Caenorhabditis elegans: one gene and its partner. The protein of the gene in region 2 purifies or fractionates together with the protein of the main gene of each other region. This does not show direct contact. Each region holds a gene or a part of one and is shown on either strand. Other genes may lie near its edges.

The links.
Region 1: the proteins of eri-5 (region 2) and rrf-3 purify together in Caenorhabditis elegans (affinity purification with mass spectrometry; 2 studies listed by BioGRID). This does not show direct contact.

The regions. Positions count from the first base shown.
Region 1 is NC_003280.10:8,159,999-8,164,064, forward strand, and holds the start of rrf-3 (RNA-directed RNA polymerase), read left to right. Parts: upstream 1-2,466; 5' UTR 2,467-2,559; coding exon 2,560-2,627; intron 2,628-2,682; coding exon 2,683-3,292; intron 3,293-3,338; coding exon 3,339-3,574; intron 3,575-3,621; coding exon 3,622-3,735; intron 3,736-3,785; coding exon 3,786-4,066. Other genes in the region: emb-27 (Cell division cycle protein 16 homolog), read right to left, coding at 1-140, 185-479, 530-896, 940-1,339, 1,386-1,890, 1,935-2,039, 2,086-2,171.
Region 2 is NC_003282.8:2,388,964-2,393,962, reverse strand, and holds the start of eri-5 (Tudor domain-containing protein), read right to left. Parts: upstream 3,143-4,999; coding exon 2,714-3,142; intron 1,942-2,713; coding exon 1,704-1,941; intron 899-1,703; coding exon 605-898; intron 414-604; coding exon 302-413; intron 1-301. Other genes in the region: trap-3 (Translocon-associated protein subunit gamma), read right to left, coding at 3,839-4,130, 4,204-4,301, 4,358-4,504.

The DNA of each region.
Region 1 (4,066 bases), on a different chromosome or scaffold from region 2:
CTCAGCATCGACATAAATGGTTGGCTTGACGATACGATGGACGGAACAACGAATCCATCATTTCGTGGTTTTCTTATTGCACAGTACGGAAGAATTTCTTGTGCACCGAAGTATGTTTCAGAGTTGTATGCGGGCGGGAGCTGAAAACAAAAAACCTAGATAACATAAGATATAGTATATTTACCGTTTGTTGATCAACAGAATAACTTTCTTTTGACGCTTGAATCATTTTTGACAGACATTGACGGATTGTTTCATTAAATGGATCGATCGCAAGAGCTTTATTGAAGAATTCAGTTGCTTTATCAATGTTGCCGAGAACTGCGTAACAGAGAGCAGTTGATGCAATGGCATCTACAAACTTTGGCTCCATTCGGATAGCTTTTTGATAAAACATGATTGCTTCATTCAGCCTTCCTTGCCGTCTGGCTATGTGGCCAATGTTATTGAGCATTGGGTGCCAAAAGTCGTCGATTTTCCTGAAAAAATGTTATTTTTCTCTCAAATAATCATCGAATTAGATACTTACTTTTTCAAGACTTCTTCAATTGGAATGATTTCATCGGTCTCTGTAACCATATACAAAACAGTTCTGAATAAAATATCGGCTTCCGCGTAACTTTTTGCAGTATAGGCTACACAAGCTTCTTCGTGACGAATCAGAGGGTCATTCGGTGCCCGAGCAACTGCTTCTCCCATGAACTTCTTGCTCAGCTTCTGACTATGCGTACTGTACTGAAGAGAAGTGTACAAGAACGGTTCAGAACTTTTATCCACAAGTTTCGACGCTCTGTAATAGCAACTCATGGACTGTTCGTGTTCAACTTCATAGTGAAGAATATGACCAAAAGCCACCCATCCTTCAGCAAACGTCGAATCCATCATCGTGCATTTACCTAAAGAAGCTCTATTTAAACCTCAATGAAATGGGAAACATACTGATGAAATTTCGAGCTCTTGAGTTTGCTCCAATACTATAATAATACATAGCAACACAATACCATGGAAGTGGAATATGAGGATCATCACTAACTAGTTGATGACCTAATTCAAGCAGAGATCGAGAATCCTTTAACATTGTTAGGCAGTGAATACGAAGAATAATGCACTCAGGATGTGGTCCAAATAGATCAAATAGCTCGTCAGTGATTTTTTTTGTTTCTCGAAATCGACCCATCTCGTAGGCACGTTGAGCACGTTCCATAAGAATTCGTGGATCATGATTTCCTTCGTGTAACTTCAGCTGTTCATTTCTGACTTTTCTGTACTTCTCCCACATCGCAGGCTCAACCAGATTGTATTTTGCCATTAATCGTTCGACATGGAGAGTTGTATTATCCTGAAATAATAAAACACGGTCAAATCATGTATAAAAGATGACTTACAAGACTCAGCGCGTAATTAATACAAATCATTGCAGCATCACGATTCATCAATTTCAAAAAACTTTCTGCTATGGTTATCATAAGAGCTGGAACCATTCTGAGCTTTTTAGAGCTATTATCCAATTCGGCCATATTTGCAAATGAGTACTTCATTCTTTCTTCCTCGACATATCTCCCCGTCACTTGTGAAAGTGTTCGAACAGGAAGAGGTCCAATTTGGCCATTACTTGGAAGAAGATGACCGACCGATAATTCAGCTACATCTTCGTATAATTTCCGTTGGAAAAGTGCGGTAGCGGCATAATAAGCAAAAACAATGTGAATCTGATGATAGTTCCCACGAGCAATAATATGGCTAATACGCCGCCATTGACGGAGAACGACGAGAATTTTTACGTATTCAGCGATGGTGACAATATCTTGCTGTTCATCATCAATTATATTAGAGTATAATGTATCCGCGTAAGCTACAGCTTCATCGGTTCTGCCGATTTCAAGCATTTCCCTAAAAATATAACATATTAATATATATGCTGGTCTCAAACTGACATCACTTTCTCCATGCTCGCCTCGTCATAATACTCCGATCCATCAATTCTACTTGCAAGTGTTTTAATCGGCTTGAAACGAATAGACTCGTGTTTCGGCAAATCTCTGAAAAATTGTAGTTTGAAAAAGAAATGTTATTTATTAAACTCACAAAGATGATGCTGGCTTGCTTGAGGAACCTTCATCAGCCAATGTCGGAATCGCAAAACTTTTTGTATCAGGCGAGATCGCGCTCATGCTGTAAAGGCTTCGTATATTTGTTTAGTAAGTAGAGAACTTAAGTTAAGCAACAAGAATTGTAAAATAGAAATTCAATAATGACGTTAATTGCAATGGAACTGTTGTGAAAAAGTGTTGAGATTATAGTCTTATTTTTAGATTATAATTTTACAGCTTACACGGAGTAGTTACAGCTACTTTAACTAAATAACATAAAGGCGCGCCTAGGCGCTTAAAAACAAAATAAAAAGGATTTAATGCTTGATCAAATTTAAATTTTAGCCGTAACTGCGGAGTCTCGTTGCTAATTGTCAATGGAGCGAACATACATCATCAAATTTTTGAATAAAATTGTTTCTCATTTTTTTCGTAAAATAAATGCCATTTTCAAAAAGTCTTTCACAAAATGCTCCCGTTTGATAATGATGACTCTAGCGATGATGCTACAACTTCTGTTAGGCCGAAGCATCCAAGGTAATTGAAATTCGGTGAGCAAACGGTAGTCAAATGAAACAATGTTTTTTTCCAGAGGAGTTCCTCAGAGTCAATCAACATTTCCACGTGGTAGATCGAATTTTTCGTCTGGAACTTTACCAAATCGAAAAACAGAATGCACTCCAGTGAACACCTTAACAATTGGGCATTCAAACAAGATGCTATTGACAACGTTTCGGATGGATCGAAATTCAAAATCTAAATCGGAAGTTGACGTACAAGAACAGCCTGTTCACTCTTCATCGTCGGCTTTTCCAGGAAATCATTTAAACAATTTTTCGTATCCAGTGAATCGTGGATATCTTCGTGATTACCTGCTACAGTCACAAAGGCCTTCTACTTCAAAACCAGTCGACTGTTCTGTTCTAAAACGGCACTCTCTCCCATCAACTCACATTCTTTATGAGAAAACGAAGCACAGAGGTGGTGTAAATATCGAAGAACAAGAAAAACTCGTGCGGATGTTATGGGCCGCTGCAGAAGAATCGGAAACAGTTGCGAAGACGAGACAGTTTAGTAAAAAACAGGCGATTGAGCTGAATTTCGATGCTAAGCTCATTGGCAGCATGAATAATGATTGCTTTGGATATTGCCGAGCACACATGGAAAATATAAAAGATGTTTTGAAAACACACTTGAAATTGGTAAGCGATTTTTTAATTGGCCGTATTTGAAACAATTTAATTTCAGTCTAAAGTTGACGAGGTAAACTGGATCAAGGTGGGGATGGTGCCACGAGCTGCGTACGAAGATAAATCATACGTCATCGATGCTCATTTAGTTTTGACGCCAAACGGTGAAGTAGAAGATGAAAATGAATTGTTCTCCGAGTTCGCATCAAGTTTCACATCTAGAATAACTGGAATGCTCCATGATCAAGTATTTTTGGAAGTCCCGAAAATGCATACGCTTTTCACAAAAATAACGTAATAGAATACTCATCCGCTTTTTATATACTCAAGTTATAATTTAGACCCCAACACATGGATATAAATATTTCTGCGATTGCGATTGGAAACTGCCCTAATTCAGGACTTTTCCTTGTTAGAGGAGATTTCATCAGTCAAGAAAACACAGTTTGTAGTGTGTAAGTTGCACATATTCTACAGAATTTCTAATCAGATTTTTGTTTTTAAGAAAGCTTCAGTCACACCATAATGCAGATGCATCCCGTGAAAACAGTTCATTCAAAGTGGCAGGAAGCAATAAATACCTCTCGTATGCGAGATTTGAGCATGACAAAAGACTGGCAGTGGTATATTTCGGAGTTCGATTAGCCGAATTCGCTGATGATGGTTTGGATCATGCCGGATTTCGTCTTAATCTATATTATAATTTGTTTGTTCGAATTGTTGTCGACATGTCTCATGAAACTACGAACAGTATTTATATACAAATGAAAAATCCACCGCATCTCT
Region 2 (4,999 bases):
GAAAATTCAATTTTTTCGCTGTTGAAAGTGCGCTCTATTGAGAAAAACTTTTAAAAATCGATTTTTGGTGGAAAATTCAAATTTCTCGCTGTTGAAAGTGCGCTCTATTGAGAAAAACTTCAAAACATCGATTTTTGGCGGAAAATTCAATCTTTCGCCGTTAAAAATGCGCTCCATCGATAAAACAGCGCCAAGTTCAAATTTTCGGCGAACTTATCGATTTTTTAGCATAATTTTTCAGGTTTTAATCGATTTCCGCATATTTTTCACATTTTTCACTGAAAATTCGAAATTTTCTAACATTTCTTCCATCTCTAGCGGCCGCTGATTCTTGAGGTTCGAGTAGAAATCGTCGATTTTTTGCTGATTTTCCGAGTTTTTTACGAGCTGCTCGAAAATCCAATGTTCATTATCTGAAAAAATTCGAATTGTGCTCAGTACGATGCTCCGCTATCCCTTTTCTCATTGGAGCGCGCTTGCACAACATGCGGTCGGCGGGAAATTTCAAATTTCTGGGTCAATTTTCGCCATTTTACTCAATTTTTCGCTTTATTTCGCGAGTTTAAGCAGAATTTCGAGCAAAATTGTTCAATTTCCACCGTACCAGACATCTTTTCCGGTGCCAAAATCGGTGTAACGTGCATTTCCCAGGGTGATACGGTGCAACTCGGCTCGAGCATCGCCCAAAAGCTTCCATCGGCTCTTCGGAATTGCTCGAGTGCCGTGTCATTCCATTCTGCCACGTGGCACTGCAGTATATCCCAGTCGGCGTCGTCTTCACGGTAATCGGCAGGCGGCTCGTGAGCCCAGTCGGCTGGGAGGTCCCGGCGGAACTCTTCGAGAAGAATCACGTCGAGGTGGTCTTGCTCTTTGTCGAGCTCCTCGAGCTTGGGATTGACTGGAAAAAAATTTTCAAAAAAAAAAAAAATGTTTTTATTTTTTTTTTTTTAACCAAAATTTTTCAAAATTAATTTTTTTCTGAAAATTCATATTTCGACTGATTGTGTCTCACTGAGAGCTTCAATTTGAATATAATCATGACCTTTTTTGCTAAATCTTTAAAAAAGTTGGGTCCCGCCACGAAAACCTCAGGGGTACTGTAGTTTTCGCGGTGGGACCCGATTTTTTGTTCAAATTCTAGCAAAATTGGTCATTATTATACTTAAATTGAAGCTAGAAATGTAGTGAATTTGATTTTTACAAAAATTTTTGAATTTTTTATTCCTTTTTTGACATTTTCTATGAAAAACTAATCCAAATTTCGATTTTTTTTTAGATAATGTTTGAGAAAAATTAGTTTTTTATGACATTTTAAACACATTCCATGTTTTAAACCAAAAAAATAGCGGAAAAACCAAAAATTTCGGGGTTTCGTGGCGAGACCCAAATTTTTCGGAAATTTTTCATTTTTTTAAAACAAAACTATGAAATTCAAATTCAGCTGTTTGAATGCTTCCATTTAAGTATAATCATGACCAGATTCCATTGATTTTGAAAATTTTCCGGGTCCCACCACGAAAAACTACAGTAACCCCGGGGATTTTCGTGGTGGGACCCAATTACTCGTAACCCATAGTCATGATTATACTTAAATCAAAGCTCTCGGCGTGCTGAATTCGAATGTTATATAAACTTTGTTCGGGTTTTTCGGGTTTTTGAAATTTTCGCGAAATTTTTTTTTTCCAAAAATTCAAAAATTATACCCATAAAATTAGTGGGAAATTGAGAGACCATAACATTTTGCATAGAAACCGCGCAAATCTCCTCGATCGCCACTTTTTTATCGATTTCTGTTCCATTTGGCAATCCGTACAGGTTCACGAGAAGAGACGGGCGGTCCGAGCGAAAATCCACGTCACACTGGTTGGCGGTAATTTGAAATTTTGCAAATTTAGAGACAATATTTCGAAATTCGGTGCACTGGGTGTCTGTCCATGAGTCCTGAAAAAATCGATAATTTTTGAAAAATCAATAATTTTCAAAAAATCGATTTTTTTTTTGTAAATTGTTTAAAAACATTTTTGGCGGGCAATTCAAATTCAGATTGCGTGTTGCAAGTGCGCTCCAATGAAAAATCTCCGTTTATTGTTGGATTTTTTCGTATTTTTCAGGTCAATTTTAGCTGAAAAATAGCATTTTTAGGTTAAAAAACCATCAAAAACCCCAATTTCCTCTCAAAAATTCAAATGTCCGGTTTTTCTCAATGGAGCGCACTTTCAATATTTCGTTTGAAAATTTGAATTTTCAGATGGAAATCTCTATTTTATAGTTTTCCAGTCAATTTTTTACGATTTTCATCAGGAAAAATGCACATTTTTGCCATGGAGCGCATTTGCAACGGCGGGAAATTTGAATTTCTCACGGGGTTCTGGTCTTCTTCCTCGAATTTTTCGCGCTCCATTGACAATCGCCTGCCGGACAACGCGTGGGAAAGCCGTGTACTCCACACGGACAAACGCATTAGTTTTATAACTAAAATCGAACCGCGACGCGACACGCAACGCGCCGTAAATCTACCCCATATATGGCCGAGCCAAAATGGCCTAGTTCGGCAATAACTCTTCCATTTCAATAATTTATGAGGTAAGCCAGCCAGAAATCCGTGGATTTTCATCAGGAAAAATGCACACATTTTTGCTCTATAGAGCGCATTTACAACATGCGATCGGCGGGAAATTTGAATTTCTGGGTTAAAAAGTGCTAAAAATCAGACCGAAAGGTGCACCAAACGTCCCAAAGTGCAATGCATCGCCTGCCATGGGTGAAATTTGAGATTTTCATCAATTTGAAACAGACATTTCCACGAAACATTAGCAGTGACCGCAGAATCGATGAAAAAAATCCGGGCGGCCTCGATAAGCTCCAAATTTTTCAAAATTAAACATCGAGCGAATACACGTGGCCGGAGCGGAGCCATCGCCATGTTTCCCGCCGAAAAATCGATAATTCGAGTTGTTAGGCGGTACGGTTCGCGAATCAATAATTGATCATCGGTGACATGATCGACGGGACGGCAGAAAAATGAAGATGGTGATTCGATTCGGAGCAGCTCGACGACTGCCGAGCTTTTTAGAGCTATTCGTCGAATCTCTGGATCTGGAAATTCCGGGTGATACGTTTCGTAGGGCTCCTCCGAGAGCATCTGAAAATCCGATTTTTTGATGGAAAATTTCTTGCATGGGAAATTTGAATTTTTCTTCTTTTTTTAAACACTTTGTTACTTAAAAATCACTAAAAATCAATTAAAATTCAAGTTTCTCGCCGACCGCATGCCTCAAACGCGCTCTAATGAGAAAAACTTTGTAAATTAATTTTTTTTTCATTTTTCACAAATTTTGTAACTAGACAATCATATATTTTAACAGAATCCCGTGTTTTTCAACTAATTATCACTAGAGCGCATTTGCAGCACCTGGTCTTGAGGTGAAAATTTAATTTTTGGTGTTTTTCGCTGGCGAAAATCGATTTTAATCGTTTAATATTAATTATAATCGCTGAAAATGGTATGAAATATGGCGTTTTATCGAAAAATGCTGTTCTTAATGTTAAAAATCAGAAAATCGCGCTAAAATAATTGTTCAGTGGAGCGCAGTTGCCCCAACAGCTGTGTAGTTCTCTTGGACGAGCAGAATCATATTAAAAAAGCAGCTTGGACTGGATTATAAACCTGAAATTCTTGGGAAAAAAGAAAAAAATAAACATTTTTAGTTTTTGGGATTTATTATACAAAAAATCTGCGGGTGGGTGGTGGGGAAAAATAAATTAAACTTTCGTTTTTTATGATAAATACATGAAACTTTTTGAGAAAAAAAAGGGGGGTCCCGTTTGTAAAGATCGCTTAGTTCTTAGCGGTGGAGAGGAAGGCGACGAGTCCGGCGGATCCGATGGTGGAGATGAGCAAGTTGAAGACTGGAGCCACGTTGGCGAGCAAGAAGAACGCCGAGACGAGCATGATGGTCAAGTAGAGCGAGTTTGTGTAGAAGACCGACAAGTAGGTGGATTCGGTGTCGGCGACCTCGTTTTTGCGGAAAAGCGCGCGCTCCTCCTTCTCCTTAACAGTCATTTTCTTGTCAGCAGCATATTGTCCGCTGATCTCGCGTTCCACAGCTGATCCGCGCTTCATCACGATTCTGAAAATTTTGGGGGTTTTTATTGGGGTGAAAAATCGATTTCCGATTTTTAAAAATTCAAAAAAACCCTCACTGATGCTTGAGAAGGCACTTCTGGTTTTTGCAGGCCAGGGACAGGAGGTAGGCAGTGCCGACGGCAGAGAGTCCCCACACGACAAGCGAGTCTTGGATCTGAAAATTTAATGCGTTTCACAAGGTTTTCCTAGCCGATAGAATTTCCGGCTAACCTCCATCTGGTGAACTCCGTAGAAGAGGTAGAGCGGGGCGATGGAGATGATCAACGCGTTGAGGTAGAAGAAGAGGTTTCCCTTGGTGGAGCTGGTCGCCGAGTAGCTCGAGAGCAGAAGTTCCTCTTCCTTGGTGAGCTTGCCCATGGTTTTTCGATTTTCTGAAAGGAAAATGCTTTAAAATGCATTTAAATGTTTAGTGGGAAGTAAAACGGTATTTTCGGGGGTATTTTTCCACTATTTTAGGAAGAAAATGCCTAATTATCAATGAAAATTCAAACAAAATTAATATTTATTAACATTTCCGCCGAAAAAATCGTCAAAAATAAATATAAATTGAGACGAAAACCCCGCCACTCTCCAAAAACTACAACGTGTCTCCGTCGAGTCTCTCTTCGTGTGCATCTGTGCGTCACGGTGTTTGCGTACCGACCTGCACGCCGGGCGTATGTGCCCCCTTCATCATACGCCGCCACACATAAGGGGTACACACGAAATCGAACTGCAACCCGCTTGGCATCATGCCAAGCCACACACCGTACTCACCCCGTCGGAGGTTTTTCGTTTGTTCGCCGCCGCGGTGTGTCTGTCGGACGGCTGCCTGTCTGATTTCATTTATATTTCGCCCGGTTTTTCGCATTT